Anolis sagrei: one gene and its partner. The protein of the gene in region 2 purifies or fractionates together with the protein of the main gene of each other region. This does not show direct contact. Links are inferred from orthologs where the notes say so. Each region holds a gene or a part of one and is shown on either strand. Other genes may lie near its edges.

The links. The genes of interacting proteins can lie anywhere in the genome.
Region 1: the proteins of RITA1 (region 2) and RBPJ purify together in Homo sapiens (affinity purification with mass spectrometry; 4 studies listed by BioGRID and IntAct, with this or other methods). This does not show direct contact. The link is inferred for Anolis sagrei from reciprocal best matches to the Homo sapiens genes RITA1 and RBPJ.

What each region holds. Positions count from the first base shown.
Region 1 is NC_090025.1:113,054,760-113,064,109, reverse strand, and holds the start of RBPJ (recombining binding protein suppressor of hairless), read right to left. Parts: upstream 3,741-9,350; 5' UTR 3,714-3,740; coding exon 3,610-3,713; intron 3,548-3,609; exon of another isoform or gene 3,461-3,547; intron 1-3,460. UniProt on the Homo sapiens protein: Transcriptional regulator that plays a central role in Notch signaling, a signaling pathway involved in cell-cell communication that regulates a broad spectrum of cell-fate determinations.
Region 2 is NC_090034.1:45,199,169-45,209,425, forward strand, and holds the start of RITA1 (RBPJ-interacting and tubulin-associated protein 1), read right to left. Parts: upstream 4,431-10,257; 5' UTR 4,251-4,430; intron 4,237-4,250; exon of another isoform or gene 4,208-4,236; intron 1-4,207. UniProt on the Homo sapiens protein: Tubulin-binding protein that acts as a negative regulator of Notch signaling pathway.

The sequences.
Region 1 (9,350 bases), on a different chromosome or scaffold from region 2:
AAGTATATAGGGAGCCAGTGAAGTTCCTTTAATCAGGGGTGGTACATTCCTGATAGTTTGCTCCTTTCAGCAGCCTGGCTGCAGATCTTTGTACCAATTTATTTATTTATTTGAAACATTTATATTCCGCCCTTCTCGCCCCACAGGGGACTCAGGGTGAAGCACTCTATCTATCTATGGCAAGTATTCGATGCCGGGGCATAAAACCATAAATATACACAAGCATTAAAATCACTTATATCCACTTTAAAATCAGTTGCTTAAAAACCATCTCAGGACACTGTTAGACGCAAAAATAATAATTCTATTATTGCCTCATTGCACTGCCCCAATAGCTTGGTCCCAAAGCCAGGTCTTCACCATCTTTCTGAAGGACAGGAGGGAGAGGGCTGAACTAATATTGTCAGGAAGGGAGTTCCATAGACGGGGGGCAATCACTGAGAAGGCCCTGACTCTTGTCCCCGCCAAATGCGCCTGTGACAGGACCAAGAGCAGGGCCTCCCCAGAAGATCTTATTCTTTGTGGTGGTTCGTAAAGGGAGATCCATTGGGACAGATAAACTGGGCCGGGGCCATTTACGGCTTTATAGGCCAAAGCCAGCACTTTGAAATGTGTGTGGTAGCAAACAGGCAATAAGGGAGCTGACATAACATGGGAGTTGTGTTCTCCCTGTATGCCGCCCCAGTTAATAACCTGGCTGTCTCTCGTTGAACTATTTGAAGCTTCCAAGCAGTCTTCAAAGGCAATCCCACGTATTTATTTATTTTATTTATTTACTATATTTATATACTGTCCCTTTCAGCCCGCAGGCAACTTGGGACCGATGGTACCAACACCAAGTTGGTACCAACATCATAAAATACAATTTCAATATAATAAAACAATCGAATAATAAAACCATAACAGAATCAATAAAAATGTATCATTAGGGTCTCCTCATTAAAAACATTGTCCAGTCACATTGTTAACCATTCCACTTTTCTATTTCTGTTACCCTTTATTTGCAAATGCCTGCTCAAAGAGCCAAGCTGGAATATGTCCAGAGGAGGGCGACTAAAATGATAAAGGGTCTGGAGAACAAGCCCTATGAGGAGCGGCTTAAGGAGCTGGGCATGTTTAGCCTGAAGAAGAGAAGGCTGAGAGGAGATATGATAGCCATGTATAAATATGTGAGAGGAAGCCACAGGGAGGAGGGAGCAAGCTTGTTTTCTGCTTCCTTGCAGACTAGGACACGAAACAATGGCTTCAAACTACAAGGGAGGAGATTCCATCTGAACATAAGGAAGAACTTCCTGACTGTGAGAGCCGTGGAACTCTCTGCCCCGGAGTGTGGTGGAGGCTCCTTCTTTGGAAGCTTTTAAACAGAGGCTGGATGGCCATCTGTCAGGGGTGATTTGAATGCAATATTCCTGCTTCTTGGCAGGGGGTTGGACTGGATGGCCCATGAGGTCTCTTCCAACTCTTTGATTCTATGATTCTATGACTCTATTTAACCTTGGTCCCTTTTTGTCCTGTTTTCTTGGATAACTTTCAGTTTTTGGAACCTGTAGCTATGGACAAAATTCTTGGAGAGATGATTCTATGATTCTAACTCTCTTCCGAAATGTTAAAAGGGAGGGGGCCGATCTGATGTCCTTAAGAAGGGCGTTCCATAGCCGAGGGGCCACCACTGAGAAGGCCCTGTCTCTCGTCCCCGCCAACCATGCTTGTCATGAAGGCAGGACCGAGAGCAGGGCCTTCCCAGACAATCTTAAAGTCCTGAGAGGTTCATAAGGAGAGAAGCGTACTGCAACACATAGAGCGTGTTGCAGTAGTCTATCCTGGATGTAGTTTCCAAGCTGTCTTCAAAGGCAGCCCCAAGAAGAGAGCATTGCAGGAATACATATGAGATGTAACTAAAGCTTTGGGCCTCCAGGTGTTTTGGACTTCAACTCCCAGAAATCGCAGCCAGCTTACCACTCTGGGAGCTAAAATCCAAAACACCTGGAGGCCCAAAGGTTGGGAATCACTTATCTAAAGCATGGACCACCGTGGCCAGATCTGGCTTTTCGAGGTACAGGCGCAGTTGGTGCACAAGCTTTAATTGAGCTTCCAGGGTCAGCGCCGAGGCCAGTGTAAGCAGTGCATCCCCTCCCCCCTCCCCGATCCTCAAACACTCTCTGCTTCATTCGGGAAAATGCTACACTCGCAGAGCTCAGGCGGTGTTGTATTTCGGTGTCGATGTTGACTTTGGTGGAGAGGTGGCTGCCAAGGTAGCGGAAGTGGTCAACATTTTCTAATGTTACACCATTAAGCTGTATCTCTGGCATTGGGGAGGGGATGGCTGGCGACTGCTGGAACAGCACTTTGGTTTTTTCAATGTTCAGTGACAGGCCAACCTTCTCATATGCTTCTGCGAAGGTGTTTAGAGTGGCTTGTAGATCTTCTGAATGCGCACAGACGACATTGTCATCAGCATACTGGTATCCGTAGGGATACCAAGGTGTTTGTCTATAAAGCTATTGTCCTCCCAACCCTGCTATATGCCTGCGAAACGTGGACTGTCTACAGACGTCACATGCAACTCCTGGAACAATTCCATCAGCGCTGCCTCTGGAAAATCCTGCAAATCTCTTGGGAAGACAAGCGGACAAATGTCAGCGTGGAAGAAGAAAAAGCCACCAGCATTGAAGTGATGGTCCTCTGCCATCAACTCCGCAGGACCGGCCACATTGTCCGGATGCCTAACCACCATCTCCCAAAGCAGTTGCTCTAATCTGAACTTAAGAACGGAAAACGGAATGTTAGTGGACAGGAAAAGAGATTTAAAGATGGCCTCAAAGCCAACCTTAAAATCTCTGGCATAGACACTGAGAACTGGGAAGCCCTGGCCCTTGAGCGCTCCAGCTGGAGGTCAGCTGTGACCAGCAGTGCTGCAGAATTCGAGGAGGCACTGAGTGGAGGGTGAAAGAGAGAAACGTGCCAGGAGGAAGGCGCGTCAACCCCGACCGGGACCGCCTTCCACCTGGAAACCAATGCCTTCACTGTGGGAGAAAATGCGGGTCAAGGGCTCCACAGCCACCTACGAACCCACAAGGAAACCCATCATGGAAGACCATCTTACTCGTCCAACGAGGGATCGCCTAAGTAAACAGTGCATGGACCAAGTGGCCAAGTCAGATGTCTACCGGAATGGGTCCTCTGGGCCCTAAAAAGCCACCCTGTGCTTTGTCTGGAGAAGGGTTTCGAAGCGGGAGAGTTTTGACAGAAGAGAAAGCAGGTCCCTCAGCTCTCTCGCTTTGTGTTCCCCGCTGGGAACTCGGAGTGAGCCAGGGGCTCCACAGAGGAGCGACCGGGCCCTCACAGGCACGAGGGTCCCTATGGAAACTCGGGCAGAAAACCCCTCACACTCCTCGCCCCTCAACGGCCGAGCAACGCGGCCTCCCCCCGGCCACCCGCCCTCGCACACAACCCCACGCACCGCACACACGCTCCTCCCGGAGGAGGAAGAAAGCCCGGCCCCAGTGGGAGGCCAGGAGTGCCAGCCGAGAGGCCGAGGCCCGGCGGCCCGAGAAAGAGCGGGAGGAACCGACTACGGAGCAACTATGCCACGAACCCCCCCGCACTCACCCTGTCACAACAGGCGCCATCTTCCACAAACTCTCGCCAAAACTCCTACTCTCGCGAGAAGCGGCCAATGTGTCCGCCGCCACTAGCAGGAAAGGCGCGCGCATCCCGCATTTCCCTCCCTCCCTCCGAGAACGCGCACGCGCACGAGCGAGAAAAACAAAAGGCCGAGGGGCGGGGCTACAGGCAGAACGTTGGCCCCGCCCACGTGCTCTGCTCACTGACTCCCAGCTGCTTCCCTTTTTCCCTCGTCTCAAGAGGCAGACACAACAGGCGTGGGAACAGGAACCCAAGCCTCGCGAGTCCTCATGAATGGGAGGCAGGCGCTGACATCGCGAGAGGATAGTGATAGTAAAAAGGAGGGGTGTATGTGTATGTGTGTGTTTCCTTCCTGCCAATCATTCCGGCGCAGTGCTGTCAATAGCACTCTCCTCCCCCCCCCCCGGCCAGAGAATGGAAAGGCCCTGAAACTGAAGGGAACGTCATATTCTTTAATAGAGCCATTCGCAACGTTCTATGGACGAATCCATTAGTTAGCATGGGGGGGTTAGGGATATACCCAGCCGTTTTAAGAGGAGAAACTACAATAAACAAATAGCTTAATTCTCTTAAATAAAAAAAAATACTTCTAGGCCCATTGCTCTACTTTGTGCATTTTGGGGCTTTTGAGTTAATTTGTAACATATTTGTGTTGCACATCACTTGGACCAATGAGGAGGGCCAGAAATCCGCCTTGGTTTCTGTTCCAGAGTTTAAGGGAGCTTTCCATGGTGCTGAACTGAGTTTCCATCCATTCCAAAAATGCTCTTTTTATTGTTTTTCTTGTCTACTTGATGCGATTTTAATTCTATTGATTGTTTATTACTTCTTTACTACTTCTTTATTATGGCATTGCGTGTTTTATAATTTTTTAATGAGATGTTGTGGTTTAATTGATTATTTTTTAATGATTGTAATGTTTGTGTTCCCATTTTATTCGCCTCTTTGAGTCCCAATCTCGAAGAAAAGTAGGATAGAAATAAATTATTAATAATAATAATAACTGGAATTTTATATATATATATGTATATATATATATTCATTTTCTTAATTTAAAATTTAACATAAGAAACCCAAAGAAACAAAAACTTACATACTTACTTACTTAGGCGATCCCTCGTTGTCCGAGTAGGATTGTCTTCCAAGATCGATGTCTTAGTAGTGGGTCCATAGGTGACTGTGGAGCCCTATTTTTGATCTGCATCTTCTCCCACAGTGACAGCATCGGTTTCCAGATGGAAGGCGGTACCGGTCAGGGTTGGCTTGACGCTCCTTCCTCTTGGCACGTTTCTCTCTTTCACCCTCCATTCGTGCCTCTTCAAATTCTGCAGCACTGCTGTTCACAGCTGACCTCCAGCTGGATCACTAACAGGCCAGGGCTTCCCAGTTCTCAGTGTCTATGCCACAGTTTTTAAGGTTGGCTTTGAGCCCATCTTTAAATCTCTTTTCCTGCCCACCAATATTCTATTTTCCATTCTTGAGTTTGGAGTACAGTAACTGCTTTGGGAGACGGTGGTTGGCCATACGGACAACATGGTCCAGCAGAGTTGATGACAGAGGAGCATCACTTAAATGCTGGTGGTCTTTGCTTCTTCCAGCATGCTGACATTTGTCTGCTTGTCTTCCCAAGATATTTTTCAGAGGCAACACTGATGGAATTGTTCTAGGAGTTGCATGAGACATCTGTAGATAGTCTACGTCTCACAGGCATATAGCAGATATATATACACATACATAAATGACAACTGTATAACTAGCTACACAATTTCTCCTACAAATGTGCATCTCTACTCTAATGACATATAACTTTAAAATAGAAACTTGCATGCATAAATCTGTTTTTTAAGAGAGGATTTCCTGCTTCACTTTTGCCTATTTCTCTATAATTTAGCATTTTCTTCCTCCTCCTTATAGCCAGCAAATTATTTATTTCTGCTTGTTTTTACATTAACAAATCTCTATCCCAAGGGTTTATATCTTCAAAACTGTACACAAAGTATATTACATATAGTGTTAATTTTTTACGGAAGGTAATCCCTCCCTAGGAATGTCTAGATCCTCTAGCATGATTTTATGGTCAATGTCTATGGAAGTTAAGCATACCATCGCATTGGTGGTCCTACCAAGTCATATAAAGAACATTTTAATCAATTCCATGAATAATCAAATCTTCAAAAGTCAAACCTTCAAATGTGGGGAGCAACTATAAAAGACTGCAGCCCAAATAGTGATCCTAAGCACAGTTACAAGCCATAGTGACTGGAGTTGGATTGAGAATGCGGTTTCCAGCAGAGGAAAAAGGTCACTTGTATTTGGGATTTGCATCTTGCTGGTATATAAACCAAAGAATAGTGGAACATTTGAAGGATATGTTGGAGAGGAAAGTATGTGACTTCTACCATCCCTTACATTCCCCACCAAAGAGCCACACTCTTTGAGTCATTTTCCATATGAAATTCAACTTCGCAAATGATAGTCTATATCCATTTCAATCTGGTTTCAGGCCTGGTTATAGGACAAAGGTCTACAAATCCCTTCACAGCTCCGTTCCAGATCTGAAGGACTGTATCTCTTTCTATGAACCTGGGAGACATCTGCAATCGACTGGGGAGGGCATTCTCTCTGTCACACCATACACTCAAGGAACATAGGAGAGGGACTTCTGCACCCAAATTGTGTAACTCCCTCCCAAGAGAAACCAGGATGGCCCCATTCCTGCTCTCCTTCTGCAGACAGGTCAAGAACTTCTTCTGCCAGCAGGCATTTGGGGAAGGATAAGGGGCAAAGTGTGGGATAGTTAGCTGCCTTGAGTCCCCATGCAGAGAAAAGTGGGATATTAATAAAGTTAACAATAAATAATAAGATAGCTTTGGTCACCTTAGTGGATGACATACATGGACAACTGGACAGAGGGGAGTGTGTTTCTGTTGGTTCTCCTGGACTTTTCAGTGGCTTTTCATACCATTGACCATGGTATCCTTCTGAGTTGCCTTTCTGGAATGGGTCTGGAAGGTACTGGCTTCTGGAGTCCCTCAGAGTTCCAGTTTGCCTCCTTTTCACCTACTTCCAAGGAAGTGGTTCCTGTGCTAAACTGGTGCCTGGCAGCTGCAATGGACTGGATGAGGGCAAACAAATTGAAGCTTAATCCAGACAAGACAGAGGTGCTCTTTGTCAGTCGTAAAACAAATCTGGGAACAGAGATTCAGTCTGTGTTAGATGGGGTCACACTCCACCTGAAAACACAGGTTAACAGTTTGGGGATAATCTTGGATTTGGTTCTGAACTTGGAGGCCTAGGTACTAGCAGTAACCAGGAGTCTTTTATTAAAGCTAGTATGCCAACTGTGCCCAATCCTGGAGAAGTCAGATCTGGCCACAGTGTGGGTTACAGCCTGCTTGGACTACTGTTATGCACTCTATGGGGGGCTACCTTTGAAAAGTGCTCAGAAACTTCAGCTGGTCCAAATAGCAGTAGCCAGGTTATTAATCGGGGTTGGCAACAGGGGGTGTCCAACTCCTTTGTTGTAGCAGTTCCACTGGCTGTCAACACATTTCCGGGAACCATTCAGAGTGATACAAAGCCCTTATCTTTCTATGAACCTGCTAGATATCTAGGATCTACTAGAGAGGGCCTTGTCTGTCTCACCACCTGCTAAAGTGCATTTGGTGAGAACAGTGGAGAAGGCCTTTTCAGTGGCTTCTCCCAGACTATGGAACTCCCTCCCAGGAGAGACCCTGCTGGCCTTCTGCAGGCAAATTAAGACTTTTCTCTGCCAGCAGGCAATTGGGGAAGGAAGAGGGGAATGCTGCAGGGGAGGCTGGAAGGAGAGTCGGGGATGATATTTCATTTTAAATCTAATTTTAATTTTATGAGTTATTTTATTGAATCTTAATCATAATTTTGAATACATGACACAACTATTTAATTGCTTTTAATTGTTCTTTAACTTTTGTATTTGCCATGTTTTTAAATTTATTGGTTGTGTCATGAAATTGTAAGTTACCTTGAGAAAGGTAGAATATAAATAATAAAGAATTCTGAAACAAGGGGGGGGGATAAGTTTTCACTTGATTCTATGCTAGAAGGAAGGATATGTGATCTCCACTATTCATTACAACAGACCTCATCCTCCAGGTAAGTACAATGCTTCTTATTTGTTTGTTTGTTTAATTTATATCCCACCCTTCTTCTAGAATTGGACCAAAGCAGTCTACAAACTAACAAAATAAAATGTGGCTAATTTATGTGCTGTACAAAAAATTTGGCCTGCAGCTTTCAGGTTTTGAAAAAAGAAAGGGAGAAAAGTTTCCACACAGTAAAATCCATTGTGGCGCAATTCTGCGTACACCCACAGGAGGTTAAGTTCTTTTCAAAAGTGTGGGAGTTACCTCTGAGACAAACACATGGAACTGAAAAAAAATCTTAGAAAGGATCATGATTGCAATAAGGGAGTGTTGAATCTAATTGGGGCAACACCCTAAAGGACTCTTTTGCACTCTCTTAAGTTTGTTAAGTAACTATCAGTAAGATACTGGCTTCAGTATCAGTGACATAAAGAGGCTACACCTTGCAGGGAGTTAATAATAGGCAGGAATAACCAGTAGCATTCTCTAGTAATGTTTTAATGGGAGCTGGGATAGCTCATAATAGAAATTATGGCAAACTTCCCTCCCCAGACTGCTCCAGATGGGACTTCATTATCTCTAAGGAAGGTGTAATCAATTCATTGGAGTATAAGAATAGTATAACCATCTTAAGTCTGCTGTTTTAGGTCAGTCTGCTGGACTAAATCAAGGACAAATCTGCCCACTTCCTCAAGGTTATGGTTTTATGGGTCCTCTCAGTGAGGTAGACCCTGCCTACTTAGTAAAATAGCTGCCTCAAGGAGACAATTTGGAATTCCACAGAAAAGCAACAAATTGTTAGGATTTTTTTTATTGTTGACATTTTAGTGGTAGAGATGCTTCTGGAGTTTTCTGACTCCTCTCCAAGAGTATTCCATACATTAACTTGGGTGGATGTGGATTGGGATTTGCTACTTAGCCTTATATATCAAAATTGCATGGACTGTCATTGTTCCCCACATATTTGAAATCTTTTGGAGATAGAGATGGGGTAGTCTGTCAGGATTCCATCTCCCTCACTGGGTGACTTGTCCCACAGTCTGCTGGATTTGAATGTGTCTATTTGAAGGCGAGTGGCCAGAACAGAATAACCATTCCCCTTTTTGAGCTGACCACACTAGTTTCAGGGGTGGTAGTCCCCTTGGATACTTTTGCTAGGGACTTCAACATGCATACAGAGACCTTTCTGTCAAGAGCAGCTCAGAACCTCATGCCCCATGAGAACTATGGGTCTGCCCCAAGTAGTACCAAGTGCCACCTCTGCTGCAATACATGTTTTAGAACTCTGTGTTAGGCAGGATGATAATCATTTGAGAGTAGAGAAGCTTTCTATAGATCAATTCCTGGACAAATTACTACATGGTGAGGTTTAGACTCATTGTATTTCAAATCATCTGCAGTGATAGGGGGGACAATAAGCTGATTTGTCCAAGGAGACTTTTAAATCTTACTGATATCTCTTGAAGTGTGTTATGCTCCCTCAGCAAATGATCCTGTGAAAGTCCTGATTGATCCCTAGAATGGGGAAATGGCCAGGGCAGTGGACATGATCTCTCCCAATCATCCCTTCCCATGGAGTGG
Region 2 (10,257 bases):
CAGTCTATGGGATCCTGTGAGTTATAGTTTGGCAGGCATTGGAGAACTACAAATCCCAGGACGCCATTGCACTGAGTTCACCATAGGGCGCGTCTACATTGTGGAATGGATGCAGGTTGACCCTATTTAAATGCCCGGGCTCAAGGTAATAGGTCCTCCTGGAAGTTCTAGTTTCCCAAGGTCTTGAGCCCCCTCTGGGTGCATCTACGCTGCTGAATGAGTGCAGCTTGATCTCCCTTGAACTGCCAGATCTCCAGCCTATGGGATCCTGCGAGTTATAGTTTGGCAGGCCTTGGAGAACTACAACTCCGAGGATGCCATCGCACTGAGTTCACCATAGGGTGCGTCTACATTGTGGAATGGATTCAGGTTGACCCAATTTAAACTGCCCGGGCTCAGGGTAATAGGCCCTCCTGGAAGTTCTAGTTTCCCAAGGTCTTGAGCCCCCTCTGGGTGCATCTATGTTGCTGAATGAATGCAGCCTGATGTCCCTTGAACTGCCAGGCCTCCAGGGTATGGAATCCTGCGAGTTATAGTTTGGCAGGCCTTGGAGAACTACAACTCCCAGGATGCCATTGCACTGAGTTCACCATAGGGTGCGTCTACATTGTGGAATGGATGCAGGTTGACCCCATTTAAACTGCCTGGGCTCAGGGTAATAATAATAATAATAATAATAATAATAATAATAATAATACTTTATTTATGCCCCGCTACCATCTCCCCAAGGGACTCAGTGCGGCTTAAATGAGGCCGAGCCCACAGTACATCAGCAAAAAACAACAACAGCAGTAATACAAAACCATAAAATAAAGCTCATAAACAAAAAATAGGCAGTAAACATCGACAATAACACAATAACATTTAAAAACCAATGGCTGGGCCAAATGTAATAGTTAAAATTTTAAAATAATGCTGGACAAGACCAGGTGAAATATAACTAGGATAGAATTTCGGAAAAGAATGGGGCGTTCAGACAGTTCTAGATCACTAATAAGGTACAATTAGGGACATATTGCTGGGAGTAATAGGCCCTCCTAGAAGTTCTAGTTTCCCAAGATCTTGAGCCTCCTCTGGGTGCATCTACGCTGCTGAATGAATGCTGCTTGATCTCTCTTGAACTGCTAGGCCTCCAGCCTATGGGATCCTGCGAGTTATAGCATGGCAGGCCTTGGAGAACTACAACTCCCAGGACACCATTGCACTGAGTTCACCATAGGGCACGTCTACATTGTGGAATGGATGCAGGTTGACCCAATTTAAACTGCCCAGGCTCAGGGTAATAGGTCCTCCTGGAAGTTCTAGTTTCCCAAGGTCTTGAACCTCCTCTGGGTGCATCTACGCTGCTGAATGAATGCAGCTTGATCTCCCTTGAACTGCTAGGACTCCAGCCTATGGGATCCTGCAAGTTATAGTATGGCAGGCCTTGGAGAACTACAACTCCCAGGATGCCATCGCACTGAGTTCACCATAGGGTGCGTCTACATTGTGGAATGAATGCAGGTTGACCCCATTTAAACTGCCTGGGCTCAAGGTAATAGGTCTTCCTGGAAGTTCTAGTTTCCCAAGGTCTTGAGTCCCAAGGTCTTCAGCAGCATAGAAGCTCCCAGAGGGGGCTCAAACCCTTGGGAAACTAGAACCTCCAGGAGGACCTATTACCCTGGAGCAGAAGCATCTATGCTGCTGAATGAATGCAGCTTGATGTCCCTTGAACTGCCAGGCCTCCAGGGTACGGAATCCTGCGAGTTATAGTTTAGCAGGCCTTGGAGAACTACAACTCCCAGGACACCATTGCACTGAGTTCACCATAGGGCGCGTCTACATTGTGGAATGGATGCAGGTTGACCCAATTTAAACTGCCCGGGCTCAGGGCAATAGGTCTTCCTGGAAGTTCTAGTTTCCCAAGGTCTTGAGTCCCAAGGTCTTCAGCAGCATAGAAGCTCCCAGAGGGGACTCAAGACCTTGGGAAACTAGAACTTCCAGGAGGGCCTATTACCCTGGAGCAGAAGCATCTATGCTGCTGAATGAATGCAGCTTGATGTCCCTTGAACTGCCAGGCCTCCAGGGTACGGAATCCTGCGAGTTATAGTTTAGCAGGCCTTGGAGAACTACAACTCCCAGGACACCATTGCACTGAGTTCACCATAGGGCGCGTCTACATTGTGGAATGGATGCAGGTTGACCCAATTTAAACTGCCTGGGCTCAGGGTAATAGGTCTTCCTGGAAGTTCTAGTTTCCCAAGGTCTTGAGTCCCAAGGTCTTCAGCAGCATAGAAGCTCCCAGAGGAGACTCAAGACCTTGGGAAACTAGAACTTCCAGGAGGGCCTATTACCCTGGAGCAGAAGCATCTATGCTGCTGAATGAATGCAGCTTGATGTCCCTTGAACTGCCAGGCCTCCAGGGTATGGAATCCTGCGAGTTATAGTTTAGCAGGCCTTGGAGAACTACAACTCCCAGGATGCCATTGCACTGAGTTCACCATAGGGCGCGTCTACATTGTGGAATGATGCAGGTTGACCCCATTTAAACTGCCCAGGCTCAGGGCAATAGGTCTTCCTGGAAGTTCTAGTTTCCCAAGGTCTTGAGTCCCAAGGTCTTCAGCAGCATAGAAGCACCCAGATGGGGCTCAAGACCTTGGGAAACTAGAACTTCCAGGAGGACCTATTACCCTGGAGCAGAAGCATCTATGCTGCTGAATGAATGCAGCTTGATGTCCCTTGAACTGCCAGGCCTCCAGGGTATGGAATCCTGCGAGTTATAGTTTGGCAGGCCTTGGAAAACTACAACTCCCAGGATGCCATTGCACTGAGTTCACCATAGGGCTCGTCTACATTGTGGAATGGATACAGGTTGACCCAATTTAAACTGCCTGGGCTCAGGGTAATAGGTCTTCCTGGAAGTTCTAGTCTCCCAAGGTCTTGAGTCCCAAGGTCTTCAGCAGCATAGAAGCACCCAGAGGGGGCTCAAGACCTTGGGAAACTAGAACTTCCAGGAGGGCCTATTACCCTGGAGCAGAAGCATCTATGCTGCTGAATGAATGCAGCTTGATGTCCCTTGAACTGCCAGGCCTCCAGGGTATGGAATTCTGCGAGTTATAGTTTGGCAGGCCTTGGAGAACTACAACTCCCAGGACGCCATTGCACTGAGTTCACCATAGGGCGCGTCTACATTGTGGAATGGATGCAGGTTGACCCCATTTAAACTGCCTGGGCTCAGGGTAATAGGTCCTCCTGGAAGTTCAAGTTTCCCAAGGTCTTGAGCCCCCTCTGGGGGCATCTATGCTGCTGAATGAATGCAGATTAATCTCCCTTGAACTGCTAGGCCTCCAGGGTATGGAATCCTGCGAGTTATAGTTTGGCAGGCCTTGGAGAACTACAACTCCCAGGACACCATTGCACTGAGTTCACCATAGGGTGCGTCTACATTGTGGAATGGATGCAGGTGGACCCAATTTGAACTGCCCGGGCTCAGGGTAATAGGTCCTCCTGGAAGTTCTAGTTTCCCAAGGTCTTGAGCCTCCTCTGCGTGCATCTGTGCTGCTGAATGAATGGAGCTTGATGTCCCTTGAACTGCCAGGCCTCCGGGGTATGGAATCCTGCGAGTTATAGTTTAGCAGGCCTTGGAGAACTACAACTCCCAGGACACCATTGCACTGAGTTCACTATAGGGCGCGTCTACATTGTGGAATGATGCAGGTTGACCCAATTTAAACTGCCCGGGCTCAGGGTAATAGGTCTTCCTGTAAGTTCTAGTTTCCCAAGGTCTTGAGTCCCAAGGTCTTCAGCAGCATAGAAGCACCCAGAGGGGGCTCAAGACCTTGGGAAACTAGAACTTCCAGGAAGACCTATTACCCTGAGCCCAGGCAGTTTAAATGGGGTCAACCTGCATCCATTCCACAATGTAGACGCGCCATTTAAACTGCCCGGGCTCAGGGTAATAGGTCTTCCTGCAAGTTCTAGTTTCCCAAGGTCTTGAGTCTTCCCCGCCGAACCACAACTCGCAGGATCCCCTATCTGGAGCCAAAGCAGTTCAGGGGAGGTCAAGCTGTCCTCATTCGACCGTGCAGCATATGCACCCTTTTCATTGTTTGCATCTCGTTTCCCTGGGAAACGACTGCAAAGCAGCAGAAAACCAGCCAATCCAAGCCATCTCTGGCTTTTGCACACGGCCTGAGGCATTCTCTTCCCTTTCTTTTTGCAGTCCTACCTTTTCAGCCCGGCCCCGATCCCCCCCTCGGCCCCGATCTTACGGTTTGCTCGCCTCCTTGGCCCCTCTTTCGGCCACCGATCAGCTCCTCATGAAAGAAGACGAGGAACAACTCTTCACTTCCGGTTCCCATTCGCGGCTCTTGATTAGAGCAAGACAGGAACTTGCTGGCTTCTCTGCTTTGCTTTCTGATGGCTTGGTTTCATGCACACACAAAATATTATATTTCAGGCTGTGCGTCTCTGCAACATAAATGACTGTCTTTTTTAGGCTTGGGTGTCATACACCAGATCTCTCATGAAAATATCTCAGGGTACATTTAAACTCTACAAATAATATAATATAATATTGTTGTTGTTCATTCGTTCAGTCGTCTCCGACTCTTCGTGACCTCATGGACCAGCCTACGCCAGAGCTCCCTGTCGGCCGTTACCACCCCCAGCTCCCTCAAGGTCAGTCCAGTCACTTCAAGGATGCCATCCATCCATCTTGCCCTTGGTCGGCCCCTCTTCCTTTTGCCTTCCACTTTCCCCAGCATAATTGTCTTCTCTAGGCTTTCCTGTCTCCTCATGATGTGGCCAAAGTACTTCAGCTTTGTCTCTAGTATCTTTCCCTCCAGTGAGCAGTCGGGCTTTATTTCCTGGAGGATGGACTGGTTGGATCTTCTCGCAGTCCAAGGCACTCTCAGCACTTTCCTCCAACACCACAGCTCAAAAGCATCGATCTTCCTTCGCTCAGCCTTCCCTAAGGTCCAGCTCTCACATCCGTAGGTGACTACAGGGAATACCATGGCTTTATAATATAATATAATATAATATAATATAATATAATATAGCATAACATAATTAATATAATACTTTTTAATATTATATTATGATATAATACAATATAATATTATTATATAATAATATATAATAAGGATCCAATGCTATGGGATCGAATAATACAATACAATATAACAGTATATTATTATATGACTATCTATCTTCTATATATATAAAAATGCTCTGTTCATAATGAGTACCTTAAAAACAAAAGAACCAGTGAACGAAATCACACCAAATTTGGCAACAAAACATCTCACCACACAAGGAGTGACCATCACTCAAAAAAATTATGATTTTGTCATTTGGGAGTTGTAGTTGCTGGGATTTATAGTTCACCTACACTCAAAGAGCATTCTGAACTCCATCAATGATGGAATTGAACCAAACTTGGCACACAGAACTCCCATGACCAACAGAAAATACTGGAAGGGTTTGGTGGGCATTGACCTTGAGTTTGGGAGTTGTAGTTCTCCTACATCCAGAGAGCACTGTGGACTCAAACAATGATGGATCGGGACCAAACTGGGCACAAACACTCGATACACCCAAATATGAACACAGATGGAGTTTGGGGGAAATAGACCTTGACATTTGAGAGTTGTAATCACTGGGATTCACAGTTCACTTACAATCAAAGAGCATGATGAACCCCACAAGCGATAGAATTGGGGCAAACTTCCCACACAGAACCCCCATGACCAACAGAAAATACTTAAGGCCATCCAATCTAACTCCCTTCTTCAGGGCAAGAAAACGTTATCAAAACCCTCCTGACAAAGAGCCATCCAGCCATAGATTAGATAGATAGACAGACAGACAGATACATATGATTCACACACAGAGAGATATAGTATCATAGATTTGAAAGGGACCCTTAAAGAAGGACAATGATATGTTGCATGTTCCAGGGTGGGCAAACCAGACACTCTCCACATCAACAGTGACAAAGAAACAAGAAGTACGGTTTACCTGCAAGCATAAAGAAATTACGTATATTAGAAACCAACACTTTCTCATTACTTTATTTTCCAGATCAACAGACTGGACCACAGCAACGCGTGGCAGGGTACAGCTAGTATCACATAATGTAATAAAATAATAATGTATTATATAATAAATAAAATATCAGTGTCTGATACAGAACATGGCCATATAGCCCGGAAAAACCTACAACAACCCAGTGATTCCGGCCATGAAAGCCTTCGACAATACAATAAAATATTATATTATTATATTATACAATAGGGAGACACTGGTGGCGCAGTGGGTTAAACTGCTGGGCTGCTGACCTTGCTGACCGAAAGGTTGCAGGTTCAAATCTGGGAAGCGGCATGAGCTTCCGCTGTCAGCCCCAGCTTCTGCCAGCCTAATGATATTGAGCTAGAGTTTGGAGACTCACCCAGGAGAACGGAGCCCTAAGACCCACCAAAGTGCTGGTGTTGACCTATAAATCCCTAAACGACTCCGGCCCAGTTTACCTGTCCAAACGGATTCTCTCCTATGAACCATCAAGGTTGTTAAGATCTTCTGGAGGGGGCCTGCTCTCGGTCCCACCACCTTCACAATTGTGTCTGGTGGGGACGAGGGACAGCACCTTCTCGGTGGTGGCCCCTCGGCTCTGGAACTCTCTCCCATTGGAGATTAGATCCGCCTCTTCCCTCCTGACTTTCAGAAAGCTGGTAAAAACATGGCTTTTGTGTGATATTGTATGATCTGTATTTTAATGTATTAATGTATTATGATGCTATTATGTTCATTATATATGTGTTGAATTTTCTGCTGTTAGCCGGCCTGAGTCCCTCTTCGGAGGTCGAGAAGACCGGGTTATAAAAGCTCTAAATAAAAAAATTAAAAAATGAGGATCCGGAACTCTGGCGAGCAAAGGAAAAGCCAATAGAATTTTCCCCAGATTTTTCCCAATAAATCTCACCAAAATTGAAGAAAAGCCACCGAGTTGTATTTATTTCATCCAGCTGGTACGGATGTCAAACCGCGATAGTTCGTCAGGAGAGACATACATTCAATACATTGCAGTACATTTTTATAGAGAAACAGAGCTGTCAAAGTTCAAATTTCCCACCCCTCAGCCAGCCTTCTCCTGATTGGTTGTTGTCATCAGCTGGAGAGGAGGCGCAGCCAGCTTGACTGCGCCTCAGTGAATCAGAAAGCCAGTGCCACTTCGAGCTTTCGACCAATAGGAGCGGAGGAGGCGGTCCTTGGGAAGAACAATGAAAGGAATGTCCAGATGATTGAATTAGAATGGCTCAATGTGTCCAAATGGCTGGCGATTAATCAAAAGAAAAGATTCCTCAAGCTGGCTGGGTATTCTTGAAAGGTTGCGATATGCAGATATGGCGGGTGTAAAGATCCCTTACCTTGCCAGCTGGGGGGTGGCAGGGCCTAGGAAGAGACAGGCTAGGTAGTTTCAGCTTAGGAAGGCCTGGCAGAGAGCGGCAGGAGCCATCTTAGTTTAGGGAAGACTCCAGTTCAGAGAGGGGGAGTGGCCTAGGCCTGTGCCAGCCCAGCAACAGCCAGGATTGGTTTGGAAAAGGGGGGCGGAGTTAGCCAGTTGGAGGGAAAGAGAGAAGCTTATTTTGACAGTTCAGTTCAGTTCTGGGTGATGTTAGAGTAGGATTAGAGTTTTAGGAGTCTCTGTTAGGAATAGGCAGCTTGCCTGTAGTTTGCACAGCAAAGTAGGCTGTGGCAGACTGGTTACAGCTATTTTAGAAAGGAAATAGCTGGGTTTTCTTTAGGAATTGTAACAAAGAATAGAACCATTCTCTCAAGCAACCATTACGCTTCTAAGAACCAAGAACACTTTAATTTGTAACAGCAAAGACTCTACAACTGCATTCACTTTTATTCTGTAACTTGTATTCAATAAACCTTTCTTGTTATTTTTAAAATTTAAGCCTGAGTCAAGTGCCATTTGTAGATTCAGTCTTTTTTTCTTTTTAAATCAACCTCTCCTGTTTCCCCTCAAAGAAGCCCTTTTTAATACACAGTGTTTGGTGGTCCTAGAAAAGCCTTTTAACATTCTAAATAGCTAGAGGGTTCCTGATTCTTCAGTTTATGGTGGCAGCGAAGGTTTTAATCAAGAGACATCCCCTCAAACACTATAAGTGCCAAAGTGGTGTGAATTCCTTATTGAAGGAGGGACAGTGTTGGGATCTGTTTGCCCCTGTCCAGTTATATTGTTTGGCCATCAAGAGCGTATCTTTATAGCGGGCACGATTGCCAAGCCCTGGTATTTCCTTGTCTTAGATATTGGATCACTTTGTAATTTGGTAGATTTTCTTGGTCCAAGGGGAAATGACAAAAGGGAGGAAGGCTGGGATATCCTGGCCTCCCTTGGAGGCAGGATGTTTCTTTGTTGATAGATGACTAGTTTACCAGGGGCCCTTTCCCAAGTGGTCATGATCCGAAACTGAGGGAGAGCCTGGTTATTATCATGTAAATAGTCTTTGTTGAAAACCTAGAATCAATGGAAATTTGCCCTAGGAAATGAACTTCCCAAGGCTGGTGTTTCACTGGGGTCACGAAAAGGGTGGCTTCCCATATTTCATATACAGACACATACATAAGGTTCAAGGGAGACACATAAGGGACAATGAAGCATAAAGGGATTTCATAATACACTCATCCCACCCACTAGAGTCCAAAGGAATAAGTTCATAAGCATGAAATCATATCATCCCTATTCATGCAAGGTAGTCCACCAAGTTTTTAAAAGTTCTTGAAAGTTTGGGAAAGTTGATCAAAGTTGTGAAATCCAGAAAAGGCAAGTGGGAAAAGGTGTCCCAGTGTCCACAGAGTCCTTATGAGCCGACTGCCAACGTTGAAGATTGAGATCCGTGGAGAGAACTACAGATCCCTCCATACCAAGGACTCAGGCAGCCTGCTGACATCTTGGGGTTCCTCTGGGGTGACTGCGACAGTTGCCCAAGATCAGCATGCTCCCTGGACATCCACAAAATGGTGGCAACGAGGCAATCTCCTTGGAAAAACAGCTGGGCTCCAGGCTGAAGTTTTAGAGACAAAAAAAGGTTATTCCTGGGGCGGAGAGGACAGCGGAGCGAAACCGAGATAGCCACTGGAATTCTCCCAGAAGAATGACACCATTTTCGAAGCGATCTGTTGACTCGCTGATACAGGGGCCCAAGGGGGTTTCCATATCCGCGGTTTAAGGGAACGCAGTTTCTGCCTCCCCGGGACGCAAAAATCGCAACCCAGGAGGGCTGGCAGTCATCTGCAGCCCGGGAGAGGAAAGTTTTATGAAAAGAGAAATTTGAGGCAATAAAGAGACACCAAGTAACACCATGAAGAGGAAAAAGGTTACAATTAATTGATACTTTTTATTGGGGGGATTAGTTACAACGTTAGGAAGGGGAAAAGGCAAAGAAATAAGATGGCTTCTGAGTTGCAGCTGCTGCTGTGCCCACGTTCATGAGGTTGGCCCAAGCGGGGCAATGGAGAACTGAGGAACGCCCTGCTGCCGGTCAGATTAGCTTGAGGGCAGGGAATTCCGTGTTCGACCTGCAACTCACATGCAAATGTGAGTAGATCAATAGGAACTGCTCCGGTGGGAAGGTAACGATGCTCCGTGCAGTCATGCTGGCTCTTCAGCTTAGAAATGGAGATGAGCACCACACCCCAGAGTCGGACATGACTAGACTTAATGTTAAGGGAAAACCTTTATCTTTACTATGAGACAATAATATAACATACTACATTAATGACCCAATGCTAAGGGATCAAATAATATAATACAATATAACAAATTATTATTATATTACTATATAAAATAATATTATATTGTATTATATACTATTATTATATAATAATATAGTATAATATAATGAGGGCCCAATGCTATGGGATCGAATAATATAATGTAATACAATATAACAATATATTATTATATTATATGACTATATAATATAATAATAATGTATTATATAATAAAAAAAATATTATATTATTGTATAATATAATATAATTTTGGGGGTCCTTAGGTAGGATCCCAAAATTTGACTATGCACTTTACTACCATTTTATCTATAAAATAGTAGTAAATATTTTATCTCTATCCTTAACACAGCTACATGCCCTATGCACTTTATTCATTTCCCTATCCTCGGATCTGTTGGACACCAGGCCACCACCCATGTCGAGACTGGATCATGTTATTGCTGTTGGTTTTGACGCCTGTTTTATAATTGG